Arabidopsis thaliana: one gene and its partners. The protein of the gene in region 3 interacts with the protein of the main gene of each other region in a pairwise test. Each region holds a gene or a part of one and is shown on either strand. Other genes may lie near its edges.

Region 1 (8,255 bases), about 15 Mb from region 3:
TTTTCAACATGAAATGGTACAGAAAGGAGTGGGTTGAGATCTTTTTAAAGTTCACCTGCCACAACTCCGCAGACTCTGAGCTCCTTTGACAGCTTCTCCACAAACTGTCGTGGGGTAAGATGTCGCACGCTGGCAAATTCTATCTCATACTCTTCAGGCGCTCTGTCTCCACAATATGAGGCCCAAGAGGTAAGCACCCTTTGTCGATCACATTTGGCCACTATAGGTGCCCTGTTTGTACAGATTTAGATTGTCAGTAGTCACAATGGAAGAGAGCACATATTGATTAAAAAAAACGAACTTCATCAGCAGGATCATATATAATGTTTAACCATCTCAAACGAACAAGAATCTTAGGTTGGAAAAGAGAAAGGGAAGACATGAATACTACAGGTGGGGACATTACCTGGGCTCCCAACCAAGTACCTCGGCCATTCCAACAAAAGATAATAGATATGGAGCTCCAATTCTTGAAGCTTGAATTGTAAGCTCTCGATGGCCGATATGTAAGGCATCAAACTTCCCTAGAGCAACAATGCCTCCTGCAACATATTATGCATCAGATGATCATGAGCTAACATCTATTCTTCTACCAAATGTATACTAAAGCTCTTTCCAAAAGGAAAGGAACCGCACAGTAACCACAAAATCCCCATCAAAGAGTAGAAAGGTGTGACTTTTCTTAGGAAATTGAATGAAGATGCAAGAAACAAGCAAGCTAGATAGATACCTGACACTGGAGATAACCCTTCAACTGGAAGCTCAGGATCATCTTCTCGTTGGCTTCAGTAGAAGAAAGCAAAAGACCCCGAATTTAACATCAGTCAGATGAATTAATTAAAGATCTCTCTTTCGAGTCCAGAAACATAAATCTCGACAATGACACTTAAGAATCAGATATACCAAATCAAGGAGAGAAACAAAACCTGAAACAATTGTGAAGAATTGGGACTTCTCCGGATGTTCTGCAATGAGACCCAAATGAAGAAATCATCCGCTGACGCAATTTACGGCTGAAATGATGACTCTTCGCCATAGCCTGAGAAGGCCTGAGAAAGAATGAAGAGAGCTGCACAATCTTAGCACCACAAAACCCTAATCCTAAACCAATCGAATTATGATGATTGTGGTCGGACAAATGCTGCAAGACACGTGAGCCTCCGCACAACATGGTTCCGTCTCGTGCTTACAAATCGGACAAGCTCGCTCTCACGGAGAGACTCTTCGCCGGAGCTAAATCACTTTTAAAACCCAGTGGTCAAATTTTATGTTCATAAGCATAAACCTCTGGCTCAGGCAGAGTCTTTGGAATAATATCCAAATTATTTAGCAATAAAAAAAAAGAAACACAAAGACATTGACAAGAGAACATTAACTGAAAACATGAGTAACAACATCTCTTTCATAATTTTCTATGTAAAAGGTAATCAAACAATGCTCGTATATGTTCACAATTGATCTAAGGATCAGTTTACAAAAGGAACACCAGAAGGAACTCTCTGCGCATACTCCACATACTGTCTCCCAAAAAATTGCTTCAAGTAATGCTCCTCATAAGGTATTCTCTCTGCAAAGAACCGCCACACCACAACCGCAAACGCAATCGCTGAAATTGGATTACAGAGCATTACTTGCGTTCCCACAGACCAAATGAGAAACCCGGAGTAACTCGGATGCCTCATGATTTGATACACTCCTTCTGTCACAAGCTTATGATGCTCCTCCCGGCGAATTTTTATAAGGTGTGTGAACGATCTACCTGCTGTGATTATCGCGGTTTTGCGAAGGATTTCTCCAAGTATGATCATTGTAAGACCGAAATTGCTGATCCACCAGTGTTGTTTCAGCCCCGGGAAGAAAACAATCTCGGCTATGTACTCGAGGACTGATATTAGCATTGCTAAAGCATAGTGTTTGCTGATTAAGAGTGAGCTTAAAGTTACTTTCGATGCTCCGTGAATGGCTATGGCGAGAATGTACTCCGATGTGTGGAAGAAGATTATCGCCAGGAACATTTGAGTTAACTGTCTGAACCCGGTGTCACTAAATATCTCTGTCATTGAGTCTTCACAAGATTACTTAGACCTGAAAAAACATGCGAGTAACAGACCCGAGAAGGTCAAAGAACATCATTAGCCAAAAGATGGGAAACAACAAGCATTCAAGTAAAATCCAATCCAACTCACTTCACCAAAGATTTTTTAAAACCAAATCACAGGAACACTAATGTCAATCAATGTAACAAATCTCACATTAATGTTCTTCTAACACTAAACTACAATGTTTCTTAATCCAACAATTGATCTATGACAAGCATTCAAAACACAGTTTTCACATGAGAATTGAAGATCTTACTCAAAGAATTACAAACAGATATGTATAGCTGATGAATAGTACGGGATTTTTTTCTATTCTGTCTATACTTACTAATACTAAAATTTCACGGAATCACAAAATTCTAATCACTAATTTCTTCAATTAGGCTTTTCGTCCTCGTTTTCTGTAACTCAACTGTCAAACCACGAGAAACGAAGAATTGAGCAGGAACCGTAAACGCTACGAAGATCTAAGACATACCCAGTTGAAATTGACGGCTGCTACGAGGGAAAATGCGAGAAAGACTGGAAATTTCGCAGAGGCTGACAGTGAGAATCGCGTGGACTTTGAAGGAGAGAAGCAAAGTCTACACCTTTACCCTTTATTCTTTGCTTGCTATAATCAAGGAATTACTTTTGTAAACACAGAGATCTCTTCTGTTCCGTCTGATCTTCCCCGATAAGAAAAGTCTTGTTTGAATCAAGGAGCTTCCGGTCAAAATCGATGAGAAGAAACGTTGCAGGATCACCGAAATTTCAAGAACCAGACTATTTTAGGGTTACCGGTTCGAGACGGTTTGATCCAATGGTCCCCTATCGGTTTGTTCCGGTTATAACTGATAACGATGAGTTAAATTGAAGTATTTCTTTTGTGTTTGAAGCTTACGATTATACTGCTCTGGATAGTGGATGGGCTTGTTATTAGTTTTAAAAGTTTTTGGTGGAACCTGAATTATCATCCGGACCGGCTCCGTTAACCCGAGTTCAAATTTGTTTCCTTTACTACGAAAGAGTAAATAGTGGGACAACTTCATTAACGAACGAACCATAATAGAATTCATGCTTAAAACTAACGGGACAACTTCAAATTTGTTTCTTTTGCTGTTTCTTTAGTTTTCTAAAGAGACTTGATTGAATGGCAATGATCACTAGTTAAACGACTTCTCTGTTTCGCTAGTAAAAACAGAGCTTTTATAGCGTTTTAGGTACAACAATCAATCAATCTCTCTCTCTTTCTATCACTCTCCGAAACAAATTAACGAGACCAAATATTCTTAAACCCTAAAACCCTAATCAAACAAGCAATAAGCTTAAATTAAGTAAAAAAGGAGCAAAAGAAACCGCAAATTAGAGGTACTTTCTAAACACTTTCGATGACATAAAACATAGGAATTTTTCTATACATTACCAAAAAGACAATACCATTTCTCAACGTGGTTCGTGGTCGTCTTCCCTCCGACCCGACCCGTTAGCTCCACCAGACAAAGAAGCAAGCAAATTGAGATGATGACCCGGAAGATAATTCCCAACTCTAGCTGCTGAAGCCTCACCCATTGCAGCTGCTGCGGCGGCGGAAGCTTGCTGTTGCTGCTGGTGGCGGACGAAGAGTGTAGCTGGTTGCTGCTGCTGCGCAAAAACCATTTCCGGTGGAGCTCCGGTTGCAAAGCTCCAGACTTGTCCGAAATCCGGCCTCGCCGGAACAGCCCAAAACCCACCAGAACCACCACCACCCATTAACGAAGTCCCCATTGTGTGTCCCACTGTTAACCCTCCTCCTCCTCCGCCGCCGGATTCTCCTTCCTCCGCTCTGACGACACGTTTCCCGAGAGTAAACGGAGAAGAAGTGGAGAGAGAAGCAGTGGAGAAACTCGCCGGAGTAGTGCCAGTTCCAGTGGCGGCTATGATAGAAGGCTCAGCTTGACGGAGAAGCCACTCTATGGTTTGACCATCGGACTTGTGACCTAACTCTCTGGTCAATTGAAAAACTCGAGCTGCGCAAATGATTGGCATACGAATCCTTCTTCCTCTTCCGTCAACTTTGCTGTGTCGATCTTTAGACGGTGGTTTCTTAACGGCGTTAAGAGGTCCTTTGTTTGACGTCTGCTCGACTATGATGCCGTTACTCACTGCTCCGTCGTTGTCGGCCATGGAATTAGGATTTCGTTATCACTATCTAACTCTCTCTCGAGGAGAAGAAGAAGAAGAAGAAGAAGAAGGAGGTAATGATTTGAGAGGAAGCTAGGCTGGTGGAGACAGGAAGGAGAGCACATGGCTGGTGGGGTCCCACACAGCTCACTTCTGCTAGGTTTTTTTAATTTGTCCGGACGCGGTTGAAGCTCACGCGCTTGACTCCGGTGTTGACTATAGCGTTGGACCACGGTCGGGCAGGAGAATTTAAGTTTTTAGGTTTAGGAGTTAGTTGGGGTCCCCATTTATATGGTTGCTTGAATTACATTAGCTAATTTACGAGTAATTAGGATTCGTAGAAAATAAGTAGCGTTACAAGAATAATATGAATTCGATTTTGGTTTTTACTAATTCTTATTACTTCTGTGACATGTAACCACAACAATGCTGATTTTTACCTTTATTTCTTATCGATAAAATTTGTTTTAGAATGAAGTAGTATATGTTTTATGCTTTGTAACCACAGTAATCATACACGTTTACCTCATGAGTTTAATGCATTTTATAGGATGTAGGGAAATTAGATTGCAATTAAGACAAAAGCTGTTTCCAGTTTCCACAATAGTTGAAAAGATGAGGAATAAGAGACAATCAATGGTGGTAATTGATTGGTGAGTATACTTTACACCTACACTGATTACGATTCTATTTTGTACGATTTTAATTTATTTATTTTTAGTCATTTATAATTTCACATCTACTAATTTGTGATTGTCTCTTATTTTTTATTTTTTATTTAACTTCTAGGATAAATAAATAGCTCAAATAAAAGAAATGACAATTACGCGCTTTATGACACAGGTTACTAATCTGAGTATAACCCAACCACTGTGACCCCCACACGATATGCGTTCGTGTGTGCAATTTGTATAATCAAAATTCTTATTACCCATTAAGCAATAATAAAACAAATCATTCCATTTGGAGCGTGGCATAATAAAAGTAGCCGTGCCCACCTGGCAGATATGCCGATTTTGATATGTCGTTGCGTCGAGATTTTTTAAATTGTTTCGCGACAATAATTTCTTTCATGATGAATATATAATGCACATTATACTATATTATCGTCTTAATATTTGTTATATGATTGTGAAATCCTTTAACAGAAATAATTGTTATGATGATTGCCGTACCCATACGATACAACCATGAGTGATGTTTAAATGCCTTTTTTTAAAAACTATACCCAAGCCAACTTCTTAAAGTTGTCGATATAATACGTGAAGGTGCTATCAAAAGCGATGAAAAGAATATTTTTGTGCATGCTTAAAGTATGATAGATAGTAAAAACTTGAAACTACGACGCACAGCTGAGGAACCACCAAACTAGAGACTCGTAGAGAAATTTTAGTCACATTTCGTAGCTACTTGCTAGGATTCAATTGAACTAGCTAGTTCTTAAAAGAAAACGTTGCCACAAAAGCTTACATACAAATTGTATGATACAATTGACAATTATTAATGACCGGCGCATGTTAAAAGTTATATTGAGTGATTAACTGGGATTTGAATGATTAGTTGTGGGGTTAGCTGGATAAATGCATAGAAATTTTTAATGATCACCAATTTACCAAAAATGCTTATAGTATATTCTAATCTTTTTATTTTATTTTAAAATAGTAATATGTGTACGAATCATTTGACAATTGTCAAATGTGTTAAACAGCTGGAGCCCATTCTCATCTGCCTTTATTTATTAATGGGAATTTGTATAGAATTATTAGTATGGGGGTTGGTGGACGAAAATACAAGAAAGTGACACTTCTGTCAAAAGAGAATCAACTCGTGTTTCATACAAATATCTTCTTTTCTAGTTTTCTCATTTGGCGATGCCTCTCTAGATTTTCTTAGCTTACTCCACCAATCAGAATAATCCACGTCATCTCGTTTTTTTAAACTGAGAGGATCGCTTTATCTTCTGCCATCTATTTGACTAGCGTGACTAAAAGACGTTCAGAGACCAACTCGCTTTGTAGTTTGTTGTATTTGGTATTTGTTTGATACTAAATTACTAATCATGTGAACTGTGAACGATTCTGACTTTGGTATAACTCAAAATTCTCTAGTGACTTGATTTTTATCAAACGATATACATGCAACGTAAAGATTAACGCAAACAATCGAAACTTTAATCCTAATCACCTGTTTAGAACTCGTTACAAATAACTCATAAAACCAGGTTGTTTTAAGGCTCGCTTGGAATGACATTAAAGAAATGGTAGATCTCTTCACTGTCAACTACTCCGATCTCTGTGGAACAAGCTGAGCAAAAGACCGGGTTAACTTTTTCGCTATCTTCAGAACCAGTTTCTTGCATCTCGGAATCTCTCCTTCTTTTACCAACCTTTAAGGGCATTGTATTCTGTTGCAAAACTGTGTCTGTACCTACTTTGCAATTGACCACAAAGACTGCTCTGTACTGTGTCACATACTGCTCGTGCCTGCAAAAGTTTTACTCAGATTGTCTTAATTTGGTTCCGCAGTTTATAATACTAAAACCAAGTTCAAAGAAGTGCAAAGGGATCAAGTCATAAACAAAACAATATCATCGGATTGAAGAGGAAAGAAAGAAATCCATTGTGATAAAGTCCTTATATTAGTCTATCGCATGAGTGTTGTAATAGCCTAGGCGGTGTGTAGTGGATAGTAGTTGTATCAGCAATCTTTGAGTTAGTTAGCTACAGAGCTAGCAGCTAGAAAAGGTAGTTCTGGATTTACCTATGGGTTTTGGGATTGGGAATTGGACTGAGAGTAGAAATTTTTCTCGTTAATCAAGTCATATAACTGGTTTGGATTCTACCAAGATTGTCATTCCTAACAAAAACCTAGAGCCTGTAACAATTGTCAAGAATCTCATAATCAAGTCAACATTCCAGAATCTAGCAAGTTACTATCAATATATTAGCAAACACATTGGTGAGGATTGAACAATGGAGCCCTAGCAACATTGAGAAAGCAAAGCCTGGATGGGATATAACAATCGTATGAAGATAAAACACCAAGTTCTGATGTTGAGAGAGGAAAATACCTCTGACACTCTAAGCAGACAGTGGTGAAACAAGCTGGACAGCTAAGAAGAGCATCAGAAGTACGACCATCTCTCTTCTTATCCATCCAAAGCTCATCTTTATCATCAATATCTGAATCATAGAACTCCGGTTTGATGGAGTAATCAACTTCCTCGTCATCCGAAACTGTTACAAGGTAGTAGACAAGAAGAAGTTAGGCCTCATCAAATCAATATACAGAAAATAGACATACTTGTCCTTCTGATTCCACATTATTACAAAATAACTTGAAATCTAAACTTGAACACAAGAACACAAATCTCTTGAATACTGAAGAAACAACTTCTCTTTTCGCAATCTATGGCATCAATTAGCTTACGAATAGCAACATCAATTACACCATAAAGATTCAGAAACTTAGCTAAATACTAAATAGCTCAAGGTCTCAATACGATGGATGACAAAAAAAGCAAAAGAGAGATCATATTAACCGAAACCTATGAGAAATCCATGGATGAAGGAACGAAACAACAAAGGGATTGAGTCGAATCGGCCAGCGAGTGAAAGGGTTTGAGCGTATTAAAGGTTTTATTTTACCTGTTTTCTGTGAATTGGTCGGAGAAGCCATGGTTTTAAGATTCGATCTTCACTGCTAGTGTAATATACGACAGCTCTTGGTTAAGCTTAGCTCAGCGTCGAGCTCCGACGGTGCAGTCAAATCGGAGGTTCACCGACGAAGACGATGACAAACTTCGTTTTATATAACTTACAGTGGCTTCTAATTGGGCTTACAAATTGTTCAGATGGAAAGATATATGGGCCTTAAGAAATTAAGAAGCCCATTTCGTAAAAATCAGTATTTAATTTTAGCCTTTAAGGTGTTTTGTTATTTGCAACAAGAAGAAGTTGTCTGTACAACAGAGCATGAAGGGGTTTGAATTTTCCAATAGACTAAATAAAACGT
Region 2 (7,881 bases), on a different chromosome or scaffold from region 3:
GAAAAAAATCTTTACAGGTTTATTCAGAAGAATCAGAGCACTTTCTTGCTACCATCAGCATATGATTCTGATAAGGTTTCAGATGGTAAAGGCAAAGGAAAAGACGACTGACATCTCCAGGAAAAAAATATTGTTGTAATTTAGAATTCCTTCATTTTTCTGATGAATTCATAATTGTAAGATTTGCAGCTGAATATGAAATATTTTACAGGCCTTTGAAGTTAACTATTTGGTTCATGTAAATTTCTTTAAGTGGTCAATAAAACATCCGGAACAATGGAACCTTGGTTGGTAGAAGGCAACAAAAAAAATGGAAAAAATAAAAAAGTGTATGAGATGAGATTATTTATGTGGCTAATGTCATCGGAATAATTACATTGGTTCTCCTTCTCTGTTATTATTCTTTCATCTTTTTCACCAAGACGAACGACTCTTACACGCAGAGTTCGCGAGATCAGAATCAATGGTGGCATGAAAAACGACGCTTGAGCTCAAATTCGTCGACCATGGAACCTGCAACTCTTACTCGTTCTTCCTCTCTTACTAGATTCCCTTATCGTCGTGGTTTATCCACTCTCCGACTCGCTCGAGTCAACTCGTTCTCAATTCTTCCACCTAAAACTCTTCTCCGTCAAAAACCGCTTCGTATCTCTGCTTCCCTTAATCTTCCACCACGGTCGATTCGTCTACGTGCTGTCGAAGATCACCATCACGATCATCATCACGATGACGAGCAAGATCATCACAACCACCATCATCATCACCATCAACACGGATGCTGTTCTGTGGAATTGAAAGCGGAGAGTAAGCCTCAGAAGATGTTGTTCGGATTCGCTAAAGCTATCGGATGGGTTAGATTGGCCAATTACCTCAGAGAGCATCTTCATCTTTGCTGCTCCGCCGCTGCAATGTTCCTCGCTGCCGCCGTCTGTCCTTACCTTGCTCCTGAACCTTACATTAAGTCTCTTCAGAACGCATTCATGATTGTTGGTTTTCCTCTTGTTGGAGTAAGGTTTTCTATAGCCTTCTCTATAAAGCTCCTTGCTAGTTTTATAATTTAGCCAGATGATTTAGTAATTTAGCTTTATGGTCATCGATGTTGTTAGGTTTCAGCATCTCTCGACGCACTTATGGATATAGCTGGAGGAAAAGTGAACATCCATGTCTTGATGGCACTTGCGGCTTTTGCATCTGTGTTTATGGGAAATGCTTTGGAAGGAGGATTGCTTCTAGCTATGTTCAATCTTGCTCATATTGGTTAGAACTTGACCTTAATAAGGATTAGGGATATGTCATTGTTAATGTTTATCATGACGGAGAGGTTTGAGCTTTTGTCTTGTCATTTTTCTGCAGCTGAGGAGTTCTTTACTAGTCGATCAATGGTGGATGTCAAAGAATTGAAAGAGAGTAATCCAGATTCTGCATTGTTGATCGAAGTACACAATGGCAATGTTCCAAATATATCTGATTTGTCATACAAAAGCGTTCCTGTGCACAGCGTAGAAGTTGGATCCTATGTTTTGGTTGGAACTGGTGAGGTCTGTGAAACTTTTCTATTTGCTTTCATTACTTGAATTTCTTAAACATGTGACCCTGTATGTCATTAGTTTAGTTTTAGCAGGGTTACAATTGCAGCTGTTAAGTAATGGAATTTTTTTTTCCATTTAGATTGTGCCTGTAGATTGCGAAGTCTATCAAGGTAGTGCTACAATTACAATTGAGCACTTGACTGGGGAAGTCAAGCCGTTGGAGGCAAAAGCTGGAGATAGAGTGCCTGGTGGTGCAAGAAATTTGGATGGCAGAATGATTGTAAAGGTATTTTTTATCCTATTCTCATTGCTTTGGCTTGTCTCTTTATTTGAAATCCTCATGCTTATCTCAATCCATGGAATTTCTAAATCAGGCTACAAAGGCATGGAATGATTCGACGCTTAACAAGATTGTACAGCTGACCGAGGAAGCACATTCTAATAAACCCAAACTTCAGAGATGGCTGGATGAGTTTGGCGAGAATTACAGCAAGGTTGTCGTTGTTTTGTCACTTGCAATTGCCTTCCTAGGTCCATTTTTGTTCAAGTGGCCTTTTCTCAGCACCGCAGGTAAGATGTCAGGATCAAGTTCTCCCTTCTTAACATTACCATAAATCATTGTTGATGTGACAAACTATTCTTGTTGTTTAATAAGATATATCACCATTTGGACAATTGATAAGAGTGGAAAATTGATTGGCTTACTTTCATTGCTTGTTAATGATGCAGCATGTAGAGGATCTGTTTACAGAGCATTGGGACTTATGGTGGCCGCATCACCATGTGCTCTGGCCGTAGCTCCATTGGCTTATGCTACTGCTATTAGTTCCTGTGCAAGAAAGGTATTGTTCAAGTACTCTACGTGATCACCAAGTGTATGTTAGCTTTCTTGGCGTTGTGATGTTTTGCAGAATTGCACTTTTGAGCATTGGTTTGTATATGTTCTCTTGTAGCAAATTAAGCTTTATAAGCTAAATAATCTTATGTGCATCAAATGTCAATGGTGAGGAATGAATGGTGCATATGCAACAACATCGTCTTATCTATGAAGACCACCATATTTCAACTAACTATTTGATATCATTTTCCTTTTGTCCAAATCCAGTTGAAAACATGGTTTATTTTCTTTTTCCTTTTTTTTTGCTATGTAAAGGTAGTATCTTCACGTGTAAGTGTGTAACCCCACCGTGTGTAACTATTATAGGGAATATTGCTGAAAGGTGCACAGGTTCTAGATGCTCTTGCGTCTTGCCATACTATTGCTTTTGACAAAACTGGTACCTTAACAACCGGCGGCCTTACTTGTAAAGCAATTGAACCCATTTATGGGCACCAAGGAGGAACTAATTCAAGTGTAATAACTTGCTGCATTCCAAATTGTGAAAAAGAAGCTCTTGCAGTTGCGGCTGCCATGGAGAAGGGCACCACGCATCCTATTGGAAGGTATTGCTTGTTTAGCATCAATTACTAGTATAAAACTTAATTACCACAAACTCTAAAACCATGCAAGTTGTGACCTATGTGCATCCCATCATCACATAGTTAGTACTGTGGCGCGTCTATAACTCATGGGAAATAAGTTATCTTGTTGGATGGTACATTCATTTCAGGAGATATGTTGACGTAAAGAATTTTAGTCCTACATCTAGAACTTATTCTTATTTCTAGTTCATTACCACAATCGGATGAAAGGAAGGGGAAAAAGCAAATTTGAACGCTATGAAGCTCTCTATCTCTGGTTTTTACACTGGTTTTTACACTGGTTTATTAGTTTAAATGATGCTTGGTCTGGTAAGAGATTGAGACTGAAGAGTACTATAGGTCTTTTCTGCTGTTTCTGACACATTTCATCTTGCTGCAGAGCTGTTGTAGATCACAGTGTGGGTAAGGATCTTCCTTCTATTTTTGTTGAAAGCTTCGAATATTTTCCTGGTAGAGGCCTTACTGCTACTGTCAACGGTGTTAAGGTGAGACTCAGTTATTTACTAGATTCTTATATATATCCATTTATCTACCAGATTTTATAGTGTATAGCTGTGGGTGATGTGTGTACATCTCTGGCTTTCATTCTTAATATATATGATGTTGTCTCTCACCACATTTTTTGGTTTTGTAATAGACAGTAGCTGAAGAGAGTAGATTACGAAAAGCATCACTTGGTTCTATAGAGTTCATTACCTCACTTTTCAAATCTGAAGATGAATCTAAACAGATCAAGGATGCTGTAAACGCGTCTTCGTACGGAAAGGACTTCGTTCATGCTGCTCTTTCTGTTGATCAAAAGGTATACTACGACTACTTCTTTAGCTGGTCTAAAAACCTCTTTCCTACTTCACAGTCTGTGATTTTCATCTCTCATCTGACCATTTATTAGTCCATAAAAACCTCTGTAACACTGAAATTTATGAGCCTTGCAACTAAATTTTGTCAGGTAACATTGATTCACCTCGAAGATCAGCCTCGTCCAGGGGTGTCAGGAGTTATAGCAGAACTTAAAAGCTGGGCCAGACTCCGAGTAATGATGTTAACTGGGGACCATGATTCAAGTGCTTGGAGAGTTGCAAACGCAGTGGGTATTACCGAAGTCTACTGCAACCTAAAGCCAGAGGATAAGTTAAATCATGTAAAGAACATTGCTCGGGAAGCAGGTGATCATTCATTACTCTCGCCATAGTTCCCAATCAAAAACATCTATCAAGAGACTGAGAATTTAGAGTTGTGATTTTTGCTAGGTGGAGGTTTAATTATGGTAGGAGAAGGGATTAATGATGCTCCAGCTCTAGCAGCTGCAACAGTGGGGATTGTTCTTGCTCAACGAGCGAGTGCCACTGCGATTGCCGTTGCTGACATCTTACTGCTTCGAGACAACATCACCGGTGTTCCGTTCTGTGTCGCTAAATCCCGCCAGACAACATCATTGGTAGATAAAACATAAAAGTCTTTGTTCTTAACCAGTTTCAGATGTTAGATTGCCTGATTTAACAAGAATGTATCATGTTGCAGGTCAAGCAAAACGTAGCTCTTGCATTAACATCGATATTCTTGGCCGCTCTTCCTTCAGTTTTAGGGTTTGTCCCATTGTGGTTGACGGTACGTAAGCTAATACCCACTACAAGCTTTTGTTATCCATCATTTACCCGAGAGACAAAACCGCTAACCTGCATTTTTGTGATCATAGGTACTTCTACATGAAGGCGGGACTCTTCTGGTGTGTCTAAACTCAGTACGTGGTCTAAACGATCCATCATGGTCGTGGAAACAAGACATAGTTCATCTAATCAACAAGTTACGCTCACAAGAACCAACCAGTAGCAGCAGCAACAGTTTAAGCTCTGCACATTAGGGGGTAACTTGCTGTTCTTTGTCTAATTCTGCAAAAGCAAGACACTGTGAATTGTATGATCGCTTATGAAACATCAAAATCGTATATATGTTTCGTTTCGACTGGTTTCTTCAGGTCATATATTATGTCACGTGAGATTATATTTACTACTTTTAGTTTATGTTTGTTTCCTCGTAACAAACCCATAGAATAAAAGTTTGAGAAGTGTTTTTGACTTTTCTTCTTCAAGTTTGTGTAAATTGTTAATAAATGATCTTGCTTTGCTTTTAATTGAATCACGAAAGAAGATCATATGATGATGATAACAAAACATTTTTTGATTTCGCTTCCTCCTTTCGTCGTCTCTACTACTGGCTCTATACATGAAAAGCCTGAAACTTTTATTTTCCCGAGAAACAGAGGGAAAACTTGTTCTTATCACTCTACTCCATCTTCCCAATTCCGATTTGGTTCACTATAAACTCTCTAAACCCAACACGACGGCTGTTTACACTTTGTGGCATACACGAACCGCCACCTCCGCCGCCAGAACTACTACCACCGACGTTTCCTCGCTGTAAATCCGCCATGTAACTCCTCACCTCCGTCCTTATCATCTCCTGAACCACCGTCATGAACTCACCACCGAATCCACCAGATATCCCCTTCGCTTCTTCTTCTTCTACTTCCACTTGCTCTTCCTTTCTAACCGGAAACAGCTCCGCCGTATAACCACCGTCCATAACCGTATTCTGGTTAAGTTGAACCGGCTCGTTGACTCGAACCGTCTCGTCAGTCCAAGGAAGAGACAAACTAAGATAAGTTGGAGGATCTTCACCAGACGATGACGCTGTAACCTCAGATCTAACCGTTGGTTTAAACACGTGTGCACCACCACTAGATTGCTCGCTGACGTCAGATCCCGATGGACTTCCGGGACTCATATACAAGCCAGTCGAGACACCACCACCACCACTCGCCGTACGTTTCAACGGTTGCTCTTCTCCTAAATTACCATCATACCCTCCATTACCACCAAAATCACAACTTTGCCCTTCGACGCTGCATTTTCGCTTCAGCGTCGAGTTCCAATGATTCTTGATAGCGTTATCGGTTCGTCCATTGAGAAGACGAGAGATCGTAGCCCACTTGTTACCAAACCGAGCGTGAGCTCGAATAATCGTCTCGTCTTCTTCCTGCGAAAAAGCACGGTGCTCTACCTCCGGAGATAGCTGGTTACACCACCGGAGACGACAAGATTTGCCGGAACGTCCAGGGATTGATTTGCTAATCAAAGACCAGTTCCTCGGACCATGTTTCTGAACAAGCCTCTGCAACAGATCATCTTCTTCTGGACTCCATGGACCTTTAATCCTCTCCATATTCTTACGGGTCGGGTTTGACATCGCCGGATCTTTTTATCGGATTGTTCTTTTTTTTTCTTCTAACGCGTCCTCTTTTTTTTTGGTCGTTACAGTTTTTTTTTTTGTGTGTGTTGGGAAGAAAAGCTTTTTGGTTGAAGAGGATAAGAGCAAGAAGAGAGAGTATTTATACGAGAAAGGAGTGGGCAAAAGGGTCACCGGTTCAACCGGTAATTTTTTCTTATCGATTTAACAGAAACGATATTAAACTAGTTAAACTTTACAGTGTAATATTATCCTTAACTGCATAAAAATATCTAACGTATTATTAAAAACAAATTTTATAGAAGGAAACAAATAAAACCGTTTTCTCTATTAATAAAGAGATTTGCTCAGTGTTAAACGGATAACTATGGTAGTTCAAACAATAAAAAATAAAAACTGATAATTATGGTCGTTACTCGTTAAACAATTTTGACTCATTCAGTCAAAAAAATATTGGTGAATTTAATTAATTTAAACGTATGATTAACCATTGTTTATATGTTCATAATTATGTGTCCATAAATGGGCTACGTACAAACCTCGTTAACGTTTGGGTATAAAAAAATTGACAACATTTACGTGTTTGTATGATTGGAACAGATATTTATTTTAAACCAAAAATAAAACACGTTGGCGATTGGAAAAGGCGTTTTGGGAGATAAGCGTTTGTGTGAGGTTAACATCGAGCGTGGAGAGCAGAGAATCTTCCAGGAAAAACGGTTGGGGACTTGGGATACAGCTGTATATTAACACGTGTCAAGTAAGTATATGTACTTTGAGTTTGAGATTTGCTTTTTTTTTTTCAATTGTTCTTTCTTTTTTTTGAGAGATTTGTTTTCTTTTGAAGAGAGAGTACGCTCGTACACAGGAGCGTTTCTTCCACTCTCTGTTTTACAGGTGGAGCGTTTTTACCCAATCATTTCATTTTCCATCTAAAGTGACACTCACAAAAAAAAATCGTTAACTTCTACGTTTTATTCTCTCTATATTTATATCCTTTTTAAAATCATTCTCTTTTTGAATATTTGTTAACTTTTTCGTATGTTTTTTGAAGTTTTATTTTGTAAAATTTTGATACTATTGTAGAAGAAAATGAAATCAAGAATGGCAATGTATATCAAAAAAAATATTAAAGGCAAAATTTTGTAAAAACTAAGAATCTGCTGGAAACATACATATTGCTTTTAAAAATAGTAAGTGCAACAAAAAGACTACATAGAAGTCAATAAAAAATAGCCGAAAGTTTTTGTGTTATGAACTAAAGTTTTTTGATAAGTTATTTTCAATATTTTACACTGTTTGTTACATGTCATTGTCTTCTGTGTGTTGATTGATACGTGTGGTTATTATATAAACGAACGATTGGTCCAATATCCAAATTTTGGTTAAGATGTAAATTGTGTCGGTGAAAATAATGTAGACATTGTAGTCGTTGACAGCGAGTTCTAGGCTTCTAGCTTACATGCAACAAGTGAATGTAATAGTTTTGCAATGTTTGGTCATTGAATTTCTAACAAATATGTACGTGTAAGATACTAGATTAAATATGAATGTTGCAAGTAATAGATCGTTTATATTTGTCAAGTGATAAATTGTCGTATAGAAGAACAACTAAACCGAAGAA
Region 3 (8,102 bases):
AACGAGTTAAAGAGAGTTGAGATTAAACTGCTCATTTTCTGCTTGCTGATCTTATCTTTTGATTCCTATATTGGAAACTCATTTATTCATGCATCTTTGTTTGTTTGTTCAGATAACATCAACTGCCGGTGGTGGTACTTTGTCTTTAGAGTTTGGCGTGCTTAGTCGTTTAACAAATGATCCTGGTGAGTAAACCAGTTTAGTCACTGAGATATATCATAAATCTGTTAGTCCTTGAGAAATACTTCTCTTTAGCTCTCTTTACTCTTCTATCATTTTCGTTGGGATTTCCAAGAGATGTAATTTTGATTTTCATAGTTTGTTGTGTTTCTTACGTGCTCTTACATGGGCCAACTTTGTTAAATTTGAAGTTTTCGAACAAGTTGCAAAGAATGCGGTGAGGGGACTATGGGCACGTCGTTCAAATCTCGACTTGGTTGGTGCTCACATCAATGTCTTTACAGGTGAATGGACACAGAAGGTAACAAAAAATGGCTTCTGTATATGTCAGAAGAACTACGGTTTGATGAACTTTGCTTCAACAAACTAATTAGTCTTTTTTTGTCACCCAAATTCTAAAATGGTAGTGTTTACTTGGCAGGATGCTGGTATAGGAACAAGCATTGATTCCTTCTATGAGTATCTACTCAAGGTTAGTAAACGTAGCCCTTGACAAGATATTTGAATTATTTGGATATAATGGCCAAGTCCTAGAAATCCAGAAAAAAATAGTTTCTGTTCTTCTTCAACTTTGCATAAAACTTGAGCGGCATTGATATAGTCCTAGACTCCTCGCTTTACTTTTGTTTGATTTGACAATTTCAGGCTTATATACTATTTGGGGATGAGGAATATCTATACATTTTTCAAGAAGCTTATAGATCTGCAATGCAGTACCTTCACAAGGATCCTTGGTAAGCTTTCTGTATCTTGTATGATAGAGAAACAAGAACAAACAATTCCTTTGTTTGGACTTACTGTTTTTTCTAGTTTTGTCGTAGGTATGTAGAAGTCAATATGGATTCCGCAGCTATTGTCTGGCCAGTATTTAACAGCCTTCAAGCTTTCTGGCCAGGACTTCAGGTAAATAGTGATTCTACGTTTGACCAAATTGTTAATATATTTCAGGCTGGAAAATTTAACTATGATTTTGTATCTATGTTTCTCTCTCAAAAGGTTTTAGCTGGAGACGTTGATCCAGCAATAAGAACTCACACTGCCTTCTTTAGCGTCTGGAAACGATATGGTTTCACCCCTGAGGGTTTTAATCTTGCTACACTTAGTGTCCAGGTACTCTATCTTAATTTTAAGTGTCTCTGTGATCACTTGTCACTTATTACGTCTGATGGCACTATGATGTTACAGCTTCATATCTATTCTTCATTTTCCTTACAGTATGGGCAAAAGAGTTATCCCTTAAGGCCGGAATTAATCGAGAGTACATACTGGTTGTACAAAGCTACCAGAGATCCCAGGTCACCAAATTAATTAGTTATATTTTTTTCAATTCTTCATCCAAAGATGATCACACTACTGAATTGCACAATGCAAATTACTCGTCGACAGGTATCTTGATGCAGGACGTGACTTTGTGGCTAGTTTGCAATACGGGGCAAAATGTCCTTGCGGTTATTGTCACATCACAGATGTAGAACTGCATAAACAAGAAGATCACATGGAGAGCTTCTTCCTCGCAGAAACGGTAAAATACATGAAAAGCTCTGTTTCTCAATATGCATTTACTTGCTTACCTTAAAGCCTTGACTTGTTTTTGTTTCAAAAATATTTCAGGTGAAGTACTTATGGCTACTCTTTGACTTAGCTGTTGACTCGGATAACCTCGTAGACAATGGCCCTTACAAGTATAAATATCTCCTCCACATTAACCTCTTGATTTTCACAAACACCACAACAATTCACTAATCTTGATAATTTTACTTAATCTTCAGGTACATCTTCAGTACTGAGGGTCATCTCTTACCAATAACACCACAAATATCTCTAGCTCGGGAACATTGCTCTTACTTTGGTGGATACTGTCCAAGCAATTCCACAAAACTAGAACAAGAAGTCCTTGGAGAAGACAGTAGTAACGATGATCACAGTAACGATTATCCTTACCACGAATCTTTTCCAGTTACCGGTTTGATAAAGGTCAGTACCAGAAATAAAAATGTTTCTTTCTTTCTTTCGGATTCCTTACCACGAATCTTTTCCAGTTACCGGTTTGATAAAGGTCAGTACCAGAAATAAAAATGTTTCTTTCTTTCTTTCGGATTCCTTACCACGAATCTTTTCCAGTTACCGGTTTGATAAAGGCCAGTACCAGAAATAAAAATATTTCTTTCTTTCATCAAAGTCAGTTTCTTTTGTTTTGGGGTTTTTGTAGGGTTTATGTCCAGGACTAACACATGCTCAGAAATATGGTTTTTCGTATGTTCTACCGGAGAAGACAGATCGTGAAGATGTTAATCAACCTAAACCGGTAGTTACAAGCAGTTCAATTGTGTTAATCTCGGATCAAACAGTGGAGAAGAGACCACAGGAAGAAGAAGGATTTACTTCTCAGTCTGAACCAATAATGACAATCTCTGGTGGTAGTAGCAACGACCAAACAGGTCAAGAGCTAACCTTGTTAGAGTCAGAAACTGATGATCAAAGATCATACTCTTCTTAAATCTCTCATTTATATATATGTTCCACAGAAGAAGATTACAAAAACTTTTGTTAGAAATATAGATTCAGTTTTCCAATCTCATCAAGAATCTTGAATCCTTCTTTTGTTGATCGATTGTTGTCTCATCATAATCATCATCATCATCATCGAGACAACTAGGTTTAAGTATTTGGTAAAATTCTTGACTTAATAATCATCTTGCATCAAGAACATTAGGTATGAATGTAAAAATTGTTGGTGCACAAAGGAAAAACCTAAATTCAATGAACCTATCTATACCATTTTAAAATATTACTCTAGTTCCAAGGTTCATAGATTATTATAAGTGATAGTGGAGACAAATTAGCACAGTTGGGTAGATTTACTTGTTTAAGGTATGGGGGACCAAAGTCACAGTTGGTAACAACAAAAGATAATATAAACATTTCCAAAGCCCCAAAAATATTCTCACTGCTCGATTAGATTTCTTATTTCTTTAATCTTGGTGACTAAACATGTATAATCTAAGTTTAAAGAAACTAGAATCCAATGATATATGTTTAGAAGCTGGGATTATTATTTTTACCATAAAGCAGCTTTGGTTTAATGATTTGTCTTCGTTGTGTTCATCTACAAGTTAGGTTTAATGTTCTGTGTTACAGTTTTGTAAAGACAGATCTTAATTTGAAGAGAAACAGAACAGAAAAATGGGTAATTACATCAAAAACATCAAAGTTGTTCGATAAGAACATTATAAAAAGTGAAAAACACAAAGATAATCTTCAGATTAGATCTTTCTAATACCACAAAACCTTTCTCTTTAATGGAGACAGAGTTACAGCTAAAGTTTAGATTTAGATCTTTCTCACACTTTTATGCTTAAGACCATTTTAAGCATCTCTCTTTTTACCGATGAGGTAAACATTCACAAAGTATGATTGTATGAAACATCTCTCCCCAAGAACCCGAGCAGTTTCAGAGCTATATTTACTCTGTTTCAAGAAACAGAACAAAAAACTCTGTTTTTGAATCTTTCTCTTTGATCTTTATCTCTCAATTAGGTTTGTTAAAGACCACCACAACCTAAACCTTTAACTTCAGATCCTTTCATGATCCTTAGCCTCTTACAAGACGAAACAAACATCCTGCAATAACAACAAAACACCATAAATACATAAACAAGATTGTGTCATAAGTTAACTAATTTGAGAGATAAATGAAAATTTGTACTTACTCCCAAGGAACATCACCAACAAGCATCCAATCACCATCTTTGTCTTCATAAGTAGGTACAAAGTCTGAGCCTTTATATCCTTCTCTCTCAAAATATTCTCCCACAGAGAATTTAAACATGTTTTCAAGTGATTTCATCAACTCTGGATATTGTTTATACATCGTTAGATCTATCTTCCTTAGATATGGAGCACCATCCATACTTACTTTCACATAGTTTCCTTGACCTTCAGATTCACTCTTCTTTGTCTGAACATTGTTCTTTCTGTAAGATCTAACTGGTGGCCATCCAACAATCTGAGCCCTATAAAACAAGAAATAGCATAGATTAGATTAGATCAGATTCACAACTCAACACACATTTTCAGAGAAGTTGTATTTGATTCAAACACTTACTTTGGAGGAGAAGCGGTTTCAGTTTTTCCAGTGGATTCAATCTCTTTCTCAGTAGCTTCAGGTAAAACTCTTTTGTTGCTTTTTCCACAAGAAACAGTTTCTTCTGTCCCTGGTAATCCCAATCTCAGCTCTGTTGCCTTTAGGTTAACAAGCTCATCATAAACATCAACTTTTTCCATTTCTTCTTCAAAGAAAGAACCTCTTTGTTTTTGTGTGTTTTGTGTTCTTGTGGTTGTCTAGAGAGAGAGAAAGACTTGTTGATGAGATAAGAGGCTTTGTGAAGAAGATTGTTTTATAGGAATTGAAAAGTCACTTTTTTGGTAATTTAGAAAAAATGGGATTAACTTGATTTAAGGACAAAGGCAAAAGCTAAAGCTGTCGGGTAGTAAACAGTAGCAGCAACTTTGAGGCAAAGTGTGTCCCATCATTTTGGGGACATTTGTGGGACACTTTCATCTTCAACACAAAGAAAGATACTTTCTTTGATTTTAGAGGACGGTCTAGATTCATTTCTCTGTAGCCCTAATTCAAGGAAGTGGGGTAGAGTATGGTACACTCATGTGCAGAATATAAAAAACCTTTCTCTTTTGTTCAAGCATTGAGTTATTGTAGGGTAAGCATTACATGTACTGTGGTCTGCCATATGCATTTGTCACCTCTCTCTCTCTCTCTTAAAGCCAAGAACTTACTCTTTCATCTATTTGTGGTTCATGTGATATCAGGATTAGATCATCCTAGTCAATTGAGTTGAAACTCTAGCTGTCTAAAGTCAAACATATTCATAGTCTTTTTTTCTGTGTTTGGAGGATAAGATTTTGAGTTTCATTGGGTCTGATTGGTAGCTTCATGTGTGTCCAACTAGTATTTGAGTTGGGACTTTCGAGAGTATTAGTAAAGAAAAACAAATAGTATTTGAGTTAAAATTATACTATTTGTTTTTCTTTACTAGTTTTCATGAAAGTCCCAACTTAATTTGTCTCTCTGTCTCTATGAAACTTCTAATGATCTTTATATATATGAATCCAGGAACAAACTGACAAGAAATCTTGCCAAAAGGTTTTGTCTTTAGACAGTTCATTATCTATGGGGTCTTATCGTTTTGGGTTTTGATTTCTCTCTGACTTTGTTTTCATGTTACTACAGCAAGGCAGTTTATGTACTTGTCATGCTTTAGTGAACCAATGTAAACCAAACCTAACCTAATCTCTTTGGAGGACCAAATTTGAAAACCTATGTTCAAGACTATTTTTTTATCCTAAGTTTGTTTAGTCTCGATTTCAAATTTTTTTTTTCTGTAGAAAAAGTTTTGAATCGTTACACATTAAGGGGTATTATTCAGTCATGGATTTCAATAGAATCAAATCCAACACTAATCCACTGTGATTGATGATTCTAAATGGTGCTTAAATATTTGTGATTAATTTATCATTAGTATTATGTTATTTTTGGCACATGACCTCCTAATAGTCTAAATCCTTCTTCTTGAGTATGATTTATGGATTACGACATTTGGGAAGTGAACATTTAGGAGATTGTTGGTTTTATCCGAATTGGTCTCAAAAAGGAGAATTTTAAAGGTAGTGAGTTTGGTATTTATTGTTACACGGTAGACGACAAGACTTTGGGTTCGATTTGAAATGTGAAAAGTTGGTTTCATTGCATGGTTGGCGTTAGAGATTTAAGTTCATGACTAGCTTATTTAGCTAGAAATCAAATACTGAAAATGAGACGTATCTAACAACAAACCGGTTCATGGCATTCTCTCCGGTTCCGGTTCTTTTGGACTCTATGTTGGATTGATCCACCGTTGGATCCAATAAATGATATAAAACAGCTACACACATGATCATACATATACAGCTTCATAAGTTATAGTTGGTGGGCAATATATATGCTTTTATATCATCCTAGTGATTATTCTAATGGTGGCTGGTTTGATGAAAAATTAGGCATCACCTCTTCCATGTTGAATTTGTTCTTAACTATCTTTTTTGAATTTTTTTACATAATGTTCAATATTTTTTGTATGGACTATGCAACAAAGTTTTATTATTAGTGAAAACATATCTTATTCAAAAAAGAAAACGGAAAATTAACATAGACATAAACAAGGAGTAATTCTGTTGTTAGGAATACATTTCATATGACATCCATCCATGCAGTCATCATCCAGTAATTTCACTACCTGCGGCGAACCTTCATGATGCAACTGAGGAATTTCTTCAAGTAATAACCTTTTCGCCTCAACATTTCGAACAGTAACGATACTCATCACTACAAAATCAGAAACTATAAATAACAAATTTTGTATATAGATTTTTGTTATTTGCTTCACACGTGAAATATAAATTTTACCTGATGTAACAATTAGGCAGATAAGGAAAGCAAACTTCATTGGTATTTTTTTACTTTACAATATATAGCGGAAGTTGTTACACAAAACTCGGGGTACTCCCCAATACGTAGAAGTACAACTATTTCTAGATACAATAGTTATATAAAGGGATCTACTGTAAATTACTAATTATTTTGTTTTTGTTACCAGCCAAATAAATACTTATCAAATTACAAGGAAAAAGTCCAGTTATTGACTAAGTAAAATTATATGAATTTATTACAAAATTTTGTAAATATACATGAGACTAGTATAACTGATATTCTACAAAAAGTCGGTAACAAACTAACAATATAAGACCAATTCTAGAGTGCAAACTAGAAAACAAACAGTTTAAGAGTTACAAGAGATAGATCATATAGTTTTGAAATATGGAAGCAAATAACAATCATCAATCCATATTCTATATTGTAGTTTTTATTTGAATTGTGGCAAGACTTTGGGTTCGATTTGAAATGAAAAACTTTGGTTTCATTGCATAATGTTTAACCTGTATATATATAATAGGAGAGTCCTCTCTCCATTTAGGGTGTCCATCTAAGCATCCATATAAGCAACACTATTTATTTTATGTTAAAATAAATTTAAACATTCATTTAGTGCATATTTTTGTTACTTATAATCATAAAAAAATGAATAAACAAAAAACGAATTATGTAAAATAAATGAGCTGTTAAAATAATAAAGTTATACTATAACTTTTTTGTTAGTAGTAATAATCTATTATACCACACATTTTATTGTGCCTTTACGGTTAGGTGTATCGGTATTTACTCGGGCAATCATCATATCTTGAAATAGTTGTATTATGAATATACATGGAGTTGTGTCAAATTCACACTTTTGATTTTTGGGCCAATCACTATGCATTATTTTATTGAAAGACAGTCAATACTCATAAATCAAAGGAACATAAGAAACAGAAGGTAGTTTTATTATAATGCATATGTGAAAAGCTACAAACCACAAAGAACACGAATCTAGAACTTCAAGTCCGAACCTTTTAATTTCTCCTCGATGATCATGTCGATTTTGTTCTCCATTTCGGGAGTTAGATGATTCTTCCAGTCACCAACTTCTCCTTTGCGGAAATAGCTTTTGTAGTCATAGTTCATCCATGTTTTTCCGGTTTTGTTAACCTCCAAACCGCTCAGATTACCAAGAGAGCATAGTTCCAAGAGTTTGCTAATCGAACCACTATCTTCTTCTTCCTTAGTGAAAGGAAACCCCAAAAACTCGGCAAGCCTCTTGACCTGGACACACGGCTCTGTTTTCATTTCCTCGTACCTCATGAAAAGGACATGCTTGGGGTTTTCCAAGCTGCCTCTCCAATAGCTTAGAGCATGGTCCCAAAACGGACCATAGAAGCTAACTCCGCCACAGAATGACTCGAACATTGACTCAAGAGTGCTTCTAGATACT
Region 4 (8,921 bases), on a different chromosome or scaffold from region 3:
TTCCTTAAATGGTCCGAAATATGAGCCTAAAAAATTTAAACTTGCCAAGGTCAATACCATAGAAAGCGTTATACATTGACTTCATGCATGTACTTTTGCAGCTTTTAATCGCGGCTTCGACGCGTCATTAGTTCATTAAAAGATTTTTAAAATGACTAATTAAATTATCGTAAAAAGGTAATATCATAGAATTACACACACGAGAAACTTATATTAGGAGTTGGGTTAGGCCTCAAACTTCCCTTATTGGGCTTGGGTTTGGACTTCACAATTTAATCAAACCTAGAATGCACCATTATTGAAAAGAAAATACTTTCAACGAGTAAAACAAAATTTTAAAATGGTTGTAGTGTCGAAGAATGATGATGCCCATCAAATTAAAATCTCGTTTCCAAGAACATATTCTGAGGAAGGTTTTATTACCAAAACAATTCTGGTTATACTTGGAAAATTGTTACAAAATTGTGTAAGTAAGTTATAAGAAACAACATATAAAAGTTTTAGAAAGGTAAAAGTATTTGAAAATTTGTTAAAATTTATGAGGATTTATAATAGTTTCCCAAATTTATATATTCATATAAAGTTTCTAAAGACAAATTTATGTTTTGCGTCATTACGAATTCCTGATGAACAAACCTCTCTACCGACAGAAACTTATGAACTTATGTACAGTATAATTATGTCAGCTCATGCATATTTCTTCTAAAAGTAATAAAATTGGTAGTTGTTAAATTGATTACCAACAAAATGTTACCTACGAAAATCATTTTCTTAAAATGATGTCAACATGCGATAACAGGAATGCTCATATATTATTTGGCGGTGGGTACTAATTAAATCAACGTCAAAAGAGCACAAATACATTTTAAACACACCACTGTCCTCCTTAATTAAAGAGATAATGACCCTTTAACCAATCTATTTAAAGTCCATGGTCTTAGGATTATTCTCAAAAGAACTTGACTACTGGTTCGTGTCATGAAACATTTATCCATATCTATCAGACTATCACCTTATATATATCATTATTTCATCTCTTATTCAATTTTAATTTTATCGAAAACCAAAGATGAAATAGAAAAGACCTTTTTTACCTTAATGAGAACAAGTGATAAAAAATCATTTCATTGGCCTGACCCTGACGTAATAGTCTATTTATGCGAGGTCAAAATCTCGTGACAAGTGAACAAAATTTAGAATTCATAAAATTTGGAAAACGTGGGACTTTTTTTCTTTATCAGCAATGCAATAAAGTATATAGCACATTTTCACTTTTCCCATTATTTATTTTTATTCCACACGATTGATTCGCCACGCAGATGTTGCAATAAGCGGTCGCGTTTGCCATCCAAGCAACAAACAACCTTCATTCTCTTCCACATTATACCCATCAGCCCCGGCATAAAGTGCCAACAACATGCTTGCTTGCTTATACGCGTTCGAACCGATACTAACCGGTTTAAATCCTCCTAAACCGAACCGGTTTCTCCACTGATTTAAAGTCTCATGCCTCTCTACCCGGTCTTCTCCTTCGCATGCCACAAGGTTTAGTATCTGCCGTCCTAGGAATAACTCCGACATCACTCGGTCTTGGCTTGGCGGGCCCTCGAGCGAGTCGAATAAGCTCGAATAGTAATGTAGCGATTCCGTGAACCGATCGAGAAATACGGTACCGTTATGGTTTGCTTCTTGCTCGACCACAGTCATTATATCCGGTCGGATTGATTTGATTGTCGATAAAAACTTATCGATGGAACCGGGATGAGCTAAGAGGCGATGAAGCTCGAAGACCGAGTTAACCGCCACTGATTCTAAACCGGGTCTAATGTCTAGCATTTCCGGTTTAAGATCAGACAAATTGTTTAAAGCAATGCTCTTGAATTCGAAATTGACACCAATAGTACTCGCAAGCTGACCAAGTTTCCAACCAACTTCTTGAATATCGGTTAACGAATAACCGATCCCGGTTAACCGAAAATCCGGTGGACCATTAGGACGTAAAGCAAGAGCTTGAATCAAAGCCGGCCATTGTAAACCATGGTTAAGTCCTAAATCAATAACATGAACCTTCTCCGCCGTAGCAAAAACCTCAAGTATCGCTTGATTCGCCGTAAAATGCGCAAACTTGAGATACGGACAAGACTCATAGAAATGAATCTGAAGAGTGTCCGAAAACGAAGACAACGCGACATCGTCTCGAGGGTAAATACGGTAAATCCTTCTCGCAAGCCCTTCAGCGAAGTAAGTCGCGACTTTCCTCATAGCACCAGCTTGAGAGGACGCGAGTAACCCCACGTGCTTCACGAGCGCGTCGGCTAACTTCAAATTGTTCTGTTGAACAGCTTCAGCACAAGCTAATAGCGCGTGGACTAAACGCACTCCAGTTTCTTGAGAATCCAAAACCACCACAGAGCGCGTAGAGGATAACTCCGATTCAATTCTCGTCCTCTTGCTCCGACGAGTCACGTGCTCGTCACGTGGATACACTGCAGAGCCAGGAATAGCTCTAAGATCGTACTCTGAGTCAGGCTTTTCTTGAATCCGGGTCGGGTCAAGATCCGAGAGCATGCTTTCGACCCAACCAGAGAGATCAGAAGGATTGTAATGAACAGTTTCATCAGAAAGATTCGAGATTCCATCACCAAGAACCATCTCTAACTGTTCAAGCTTGTGTGCCACGTCAGCCATGTCGGATGATCGAACTTTGTAACCTAAAACAACCAAAAGCTCGTCAACTCCGGCAGCTTCTTCTTTAATCACCGTCGTCATTGATGAACTCCCACCTTCTCCGGCGGATGATTCACGGTGGTTGTGCTCTCTCTTCATTAAAATTGATTTGCAAGATTTTGTAAGATGAGAAGAAAGAGAAGAATAAGAGAAAAGATTAGGAACACGGGAGTGTCATAATAATTGAAGAAGAAGAAAGAAAAATAAAATTCTATTTTTAAATAATGATATGATTTTTTTTTATAATGTATGATTATTATTATATAGAAAAATAAAATAACATTTGGGGTTTCGAGCTAGCTTTTAATTGGAGTATATGAAATTTAGTACCGGCAAGTTCTTAAAAGCAAGAGCAGAGCCGTGGTACAACCGCAATCTAAAGCAATTATAAAAGGAAATTTATTTACCTATTTTATTTTCCTCTTTATATAATATACAGTAAATAATAGTAGATTCCTTTCTCTTCTTTTTCTGCGAATAAATTTTAATTTTCAAAATATGCTTCTCGAGAAAATTCAGTTTGATTGATGTAAACCTGACATCATTATTTGAACGAGATATTCTATAATCTATGCTATGTCATAATTATTTTGATTAAAAACTATAACAACTTGTTTTTGATATTTGATTATTTTGTGATTTTGATTATTTGATGAAGACTAGGTGTAATATTAAATAACGGTTATGATTTGGAAGTTGTATTGTAGAGAAACATTTAGGTTAAAAGTCCAATTTCTAAAGCCAACCACCACCCTTTTTTCAACTACAAAAACATACATTTCATTTTTATAGTTTTTGGTGATTAGGAGATTTACTTTTTATGTGTTGTGTTGTGATTATTGTTCAAACTTTTATATCATCTTCATAAATGAGAATAAATAAAGAAATTCATTATGTTCATAAGAAAATATATTAAACTATAAATTTCAGGGAAATCTTGTTTAGTTTTCTGTTTTTATATTATCGGGTGATTAATCTTTAGGTGATGTAATGAATTCTATTTTTACCAATTCCTCCATTTCATATAGAATAATGTTTGAAAGTTGTTTTTTTTTTTGCATAATGATGGCATTGTACGTTTCACATTTCGAATGTAGATTTTCAAACCGTATTACTAATACAAAAATTGAATTTATATCATCGCCATTCAATTGTAGTATTATGATTGTGGTCATATTTGTATATGTTTTATTATTTTTAATTGACTAAAAACGTAATTTAGTGATTTGTGCTAGTGTGCAAGAGCTGATGTGACACCGTCGAAGTTCAAACTCATATGCATGTTGTTGTTGATACAAAAAAAAATTGGTAATCGGAAAATACATGAAATCTAGCTATTCTTGTAAGCGTCGTTGTGAAATTATCACTCGAATTCGAATCACCTTTGTAACAATAAATATTTCTTACTTTTTTTGTAGGATTGGCGCTCTTCCTCAAAGAAATGACTATCAAGTAGTGTAAGCATAAGAGATTGACAAAACAAAGCAAAAGATGTTTTATGTAAAATATTTGCATATATTTTTAGTTGCGAAAAAAAATTACAACTAACGTGCAAAAATGTCTTTTGCAAAAATAATTAAGTTGACTTAAGAACTGTCGTCAAAATAACCCAACAAGAATATATAATAATATCATTCTATATTCTTATTAGCGATATTAGTATTATATATTTTTGTGTTGTAATACGCATTTTTATTATATACTTGTGTTTTAGACATGTTCAAAAGGCGATAGATGGAGAATAAATAAAATACTGTGTGGTTACGACCATTATTAGATGTGGAGCTCTTTCGGTATGAGCTTTAAGAAAGATACATGCAATCATAAAACATTTTTAAGCTTCCCCATATGCATAACCATTTTTCATAGTTCTACAATGACCCTTTTCACATAATGCATATCCTCATTTCGAACCAAGATTGTTACTTTGATTGATTAGGTTATACTGTTAGATGTTGATGTCTAGGTCCAAATATTTTTGATAGTTTCTTTAATTTCTTTGCTATTAATAGTAGACTAGACTTGATCATTATGATAGTTAGGAGACTTTTCCTCAAAACATGTATGTAAAAATGTCTAAACAATGATAATTAAAATTAAGGTTCTATTTTAGTTTAGTAGGTTTTGTTTACTAATACTTGTTGGAAAGTATGATGATTTACAAGGATGATTAGTGCCTTGAAAGAGAAATAGTCATAATTAAGTGACTATATTCTATGACATTGTTTAATTCAACAGTTTTCATCAGTATTATTCGTTCTTTTTAATTTCGAATCGTTTGGTACCTTCGGTTATTGGTTGGTAAGAACTTAGTAGTCTACTTGCTCTTTTTATCATCACCAATACATTAAGGGAATAAACATTAATTGGTTACCCAAATAATGGGCTAAAATACTACATGCTAAACACTTTCGTCCGAGAGATTAATTCACGAGGACCTAAAGTACAATAAGAGAAAACAATAGTCCACTAAAGTGGAGCCACTCAAAGGGGTATTGCGTTATCATGATCAGCTCAGAGATCCGACTTTAGTTTCTACCATGTGAGTGCACTTGATAGAATGGTCTTCATAGCCCATATAAGAAATTCAAGAAAATGAGCAGAGTAATATTTTTGCGATGGGACTTAAATCCTAGCAATAGGGTCATAGATTCCTCCTGAAAGCATATCCAACATAACCTAGAAGTAGAGTTTACATTCCCAAGAACCGTCAACTTGGCACTTCTAGTGGTAAATCCCTTTGATCACCGAAAACGTAGAGATTTTAGAAGTCATGTGTTCGATTTGTGTTGGAAGGGGTGAGCTTTCCAAATGATGGTTTAGACCTCGCTCTAAGGGATGTACGAGATCACATACATGCCCATAACTTCCCTATATATGTCCATTTTAATTTCTTGAATTTGAATTGCAGTTTACAATCTTAAGTATTTAGCTAGACAACTTGATATTTTGAAAATTCTTATCTATTTACAAAATTTGATAATTGTGATTTGAGTCCTTGTGAAATTTTCTTACACTGCATGTAATTCTTATCTACCAATTGTTAACTATTTTTGTTGCTTTCTTTTATTCACTTACAATTTACTAATGTCTTAGGTGGTGTTATTCAATTATGGAGTTAAAGTCAATTCTTTAAGCTTTAGATTTGTTTTCCGATATTGCTTTTAAGAATATGTTTGTATGAATTTCAAAATCTCTGCAATATGTCTTGGATTTTGATTCTAATGATTTACTCATGAAACTCTAAAGAACTTTCATTTCAAATCAATTAATATACAAAGATTTTACAAGTCTTTTAGTTTTGAATAACATTGGATTTTAATGAAATATTTAAAATCTTAATTGAATAACACCAAACTTTAGAATCTATTAAGCATGATTTACAAATATGAGTTCCAATAACACTAGATTTTAAAGCTGGATTTAGAATCATTAGTTAAATAATAGTGGATTAGTGTTGGATTTCAATTCTATAAAATCCATTAACGAAAAACACCCCCTTAGTTAATTTAGAAACCATACAAAACAATCTTTTCTTTTGAGTTAATTTTGTAAACTTTTGTGTGATTGTTTTAGCTCTCATGGATTAAATACCATTGTAGTGTAATCTTTGGGTTAAAATTTGATCTATCATGTTTTATTTTTATCATGGTTTCTAAAAAAATAAAATAAAATAAAAATTCAGATTAACAAAATTCGTTTTGGAGGAATATACATTAATTGCCGATTGGATATGTGCTAATCTCCGAGTATGACGAACATAAGGGCATTTAAAAATCGCATGATTAATAGATTCTTCTTCTATTTCACATCTAAGACAAAGTCGAACTGTTGTGAATTTCCTTCATTTGTAACCAAAGATTTACCGCCAATTATACTCTTGATGCTTGTCAAATGAAATGTTTTAATATCGACGAACACGTTATTTGTATATTGGGTTAAAATGACTTATAAGTAAATAAGTAATCAATGGTTTTCAAAATAAGTGGCTAGAAACGATGCCAATATTTCAAACCATCATGTTTTTAGATATTATCCGAATGAATTAGCTGGGATGATTAATAACCTAAAATATGTACGATAATAATATCGTTAATGTGGATTCCTAAGGGGTCATGTGCATTGTCAAGATTTTGACTTAAAATAGAAAAAGGCTAGACAATGTTAAAGTGAAGTAGCCGTTGTTGTACTAAGAAGGAATTAAAGTAGTTGGATTGTTATGGTGGGGCAAAAAAGAGGCCAATAATTTCATAGCCGATTTCGGAAAAAATTAATTCAATTGGTACCAAAGAAAATATAAGTAGAAAACAAATAATTACGAGCTTACCCCTAATCAAGGTCCACAATGACACAACACTTTCTTTTTGATGATTTTGGCCCTTCACATTCATACATATGACACCAATTCATGTTGGTGTGGGGACTTCTGTTTGCTGTATAATATGATCGATCTTTCCATGTGACTCACGTTCCTTGTCGCTCTCAAATTTTTGCCCCATCTCCGATCGATTATCATCACTCACAAACTTTTCAATATTTTGTTTCTCTAAAAGTAATCTTAAAAGCGTGTGGTCCCTATGAATGCGAATTATTCGTATACATGATGTGAATTAGAAGTTGTAAAAATTGAGAATGCAATTAAAATACCTAAGTTTTGTATTCTTTTAAGATTTTGTTTTCTTATTAATAAACAAGTTAATTTTTAGAGAATCCAATGAAAATTGGCTAAAAAGTTTAGAGATATAGGGTGTGATTGTTAGCTTCACACCGTAGTGGTATATTCGTACCGTTTTTAATATAACTAACCACATAACAATATCAAAAACGAGATAAAAAAAAAATTAAGATTTTTTTGCCGCTTTTTCTATTCGCTACATTGCATTGTTTTTAATTATATATATCATTAACATTTAGTTTTATTCGTTAATTTTTTTTATTCTTTATACATTACCAATCGGATTATAGTGTGAACTTTTTTTTGTTTGTCTATTGGCATTTGTTCATTTGGAATCTGGGTTCTTCTACTTCATTTTGATTTACTTATTTTTATTAATTTTGTTATTGTGGCATTATGGGACACGATAATTTCCCTATTTAATTAAATCAATTCATCTATAACAAGAGAGAAGACAATCGTGAAATAGACAGTTCTTTTTTACAATATTAATCCATTTTCGGTGCCTCCTAATTATGTGAACTAAAGAAATATCTAATAAGTTCCATTGAACAGGTTAGTAGTCAAATGTGTCATACAATAAACATAAACCTGTCCACTGGTTGATACCACTAAACTTGATTGTTTTCACAAAACTATTGGCCAAAGAAAAACGAGACATGAGTGTGTCACAAAGAAAATATAAATTGAAGGTAGTACTAGAGTTTGATATAGTGAGTGGTAAATCGCTTTTCACCTATAGAATTGAATATATAACCAATCGAAAGATTTATTAGAAGACCCTACATTTTTCAGAAAGCTCATCACGAAATTTTATAACTTACAATCACAAGACCAAAATTATATTTTGTAGTAAACAAGTTGAGCCACTATATTATGTCTCCACCAATGACAAGACAATTGCAAGCAACCACTAGCTACATATTACACATTTATAGAGATCTTAGGTGATTAAAAGAGGAGCCCATCACATTTACTTCATTTTATTTAAGTTTTTATTTGATAATAACTTAGCTTGTTGGTAATTAATAAGGGAATCCATCACATTTACTTCATTTTATCATAGTTTCATTTGAAGAAGGTAATCCAATAGATTGTTTCTTTGGTGGACACAATAAATATTCAACACGATCGTTTTCTCTGCATGTGGAACACATGCATCGACGATGCATTAATAATTACATGTCACATTCTTTTTCTCTAGCGTCTAATTACATGTTACATTCTTATAGGGATATACTAAGAAAATATAATTCTAGTTATCCTTCAAAGCTACTTAAGACGAATACTATGACGTTATATTTTAAATGAAAGATTTTGTATATTTTTAATCAGAACAAAAGAAAGTTATTCAAATAATTCATGTCTTCATATCAGATTTCAAAATAAATTAAAATGTTCGACGACAAACAAATTATATTTGTAGAGGTAATCGCCCGCATAACATGTAGATTTTGTTCCCTCGTAATTAACAAAAACCATATTATTCTATACAAATATAAGATGAATATTAGCGGAA

What was found.
Region 1: the proteins of ATAUX2-11 (region 3) and TCP11 interact in binary tests that used the Arabidopsis thaliana proteins (3 or more experiments, as listed by UniProt).
Region 2: the proteins of ATAUX2-11 (region 3) and MYB73 interact in binary tests that used the Arabidopsis thaliana proteins (3 or more experiments, as listed by UniProt).
Region 4: the proteins of ATAUX2-11 (region 3) and RGL1 interact in binary tests that used the Arabidopsis thaliana proteins (3 or more experiments, as listed by UniProt).

The regions. Positions count from the first base shown.
Region 1 is NC_003076.8:2,676,817-2,685,071, reverse strand, and holds TCP11 (TCP family transcription factor), read right to left. Parts: upstream 4,672-8,255; 5' UTR 4,245-4,671; coding exon 3,525-4,244; 3' UTR 3,079-3,524; downstream 1-3,078. Other genes in the region: AT5G08340 (Nucleotidylyl transferase superfamily protein), read right to left, coding at 56-231, 407-542, 731-783, 927-1,171; ATSTE14B (Isoprenylcysteine carboxyl methyltransferase (ICMT) family), read right to left, coding at 1,467-2,060; AT5G08320 (E2F-associated phosphoprotein), read right to left, coding at 6,469-6,724, 7,312-7,477, 7,889-7,919. UniProt on the Arabidopsis thaliana protein: Transcription factor involved in the regulation of the circadian clock. Acts as a repressor of CCA1 by binding to its promoter. No binding to the LHY promoter.
Region 2 is NC_003075.7:17,538,978-17,546,858, reverse strand, and holds MYB73 (myb domain protein 73), read right to left. Parts: upstream 6,370-7,881; 5' UTR 6,258-6,369; coding exon 5,295-6,257; 3' UTR 5,060-5,294; downstream 1-5,059. Other genes in the region: AT4G37280 (MRG family protein), read left to right, coding at 18-111; HMA1 (heavy metal atpase 1), read left to right, coding at 507-1,007, 1,107-1,257, 1,354-1,538, 1,669-1,815, 1,904-2,099, 2,259-2,371, 2,734-2,972, 3,391-3,496 and 5 more. UniProt on the Arabidopsis thaliana protein: Transcription factor that functions in salt stress response. Acts as a negative regulator of NHX7/SOS1 and CBL4/SOS3 induction in response to salt stress. In response to auxin, activates the transcription of the auxin-responsive gene IAA19.
Region 3 is NC_003076.8:17,546,827-17,554,928, reverse strand, and holds ATAUX2-11 (AUX/IAA transcriptional regulator family protein), read right to left. Parts: upstream 4,751-8,102; 5' UTR 4,465-4,750; coding exon 4,286-4,464; intron 4,194-4,285; coding exon 3,891-4,193; intron 3,802-3,890; coding exon 3,723-3,801; 3' UTR 3,214-3,722; downstream 1-3,213. Other genes in the region: AT5G43710 (Glycosyl hydrolase family 47 protein), read left to right, coding at 113-185, 372-481, 602-652, 826-914, 1,002-1,083, 1,177-1,290, 1,396-1,475, 1,567-1,702 and 3 more; AT5G43695 (uncharacterized protein), read right to left, coding at 6,378-6,559, 6,641-6,680; AT5G43690 (P-loop containing nucleoside triphosphate hydrolases superfamily protein), read right to left, coding at 7,661-8,102. UniProt on the Arabidopsis thaliana protein: Aux/IAA proteins are short-lived transcriptional factors that function as repressors of early auxin response genes at low auxin concentrations.
Region 4 is NC_003070.9:24,742,232-24,751,152, reverse strand, and holds RGL1 (RGA-like 1), read right to left. Parts: upstream 3,049-8,921; 5' UTR 2,827-3,048; coding exon 1,291-2,826; 3' UTR 967-1,290; downstream 1-966. UniProt on the Arabidopsis thaliana protein: Probable transcriptional regulator that acts as a repressor of the gibberellin (GA) signaling pathway. No effect of the BOI proteins on its stability.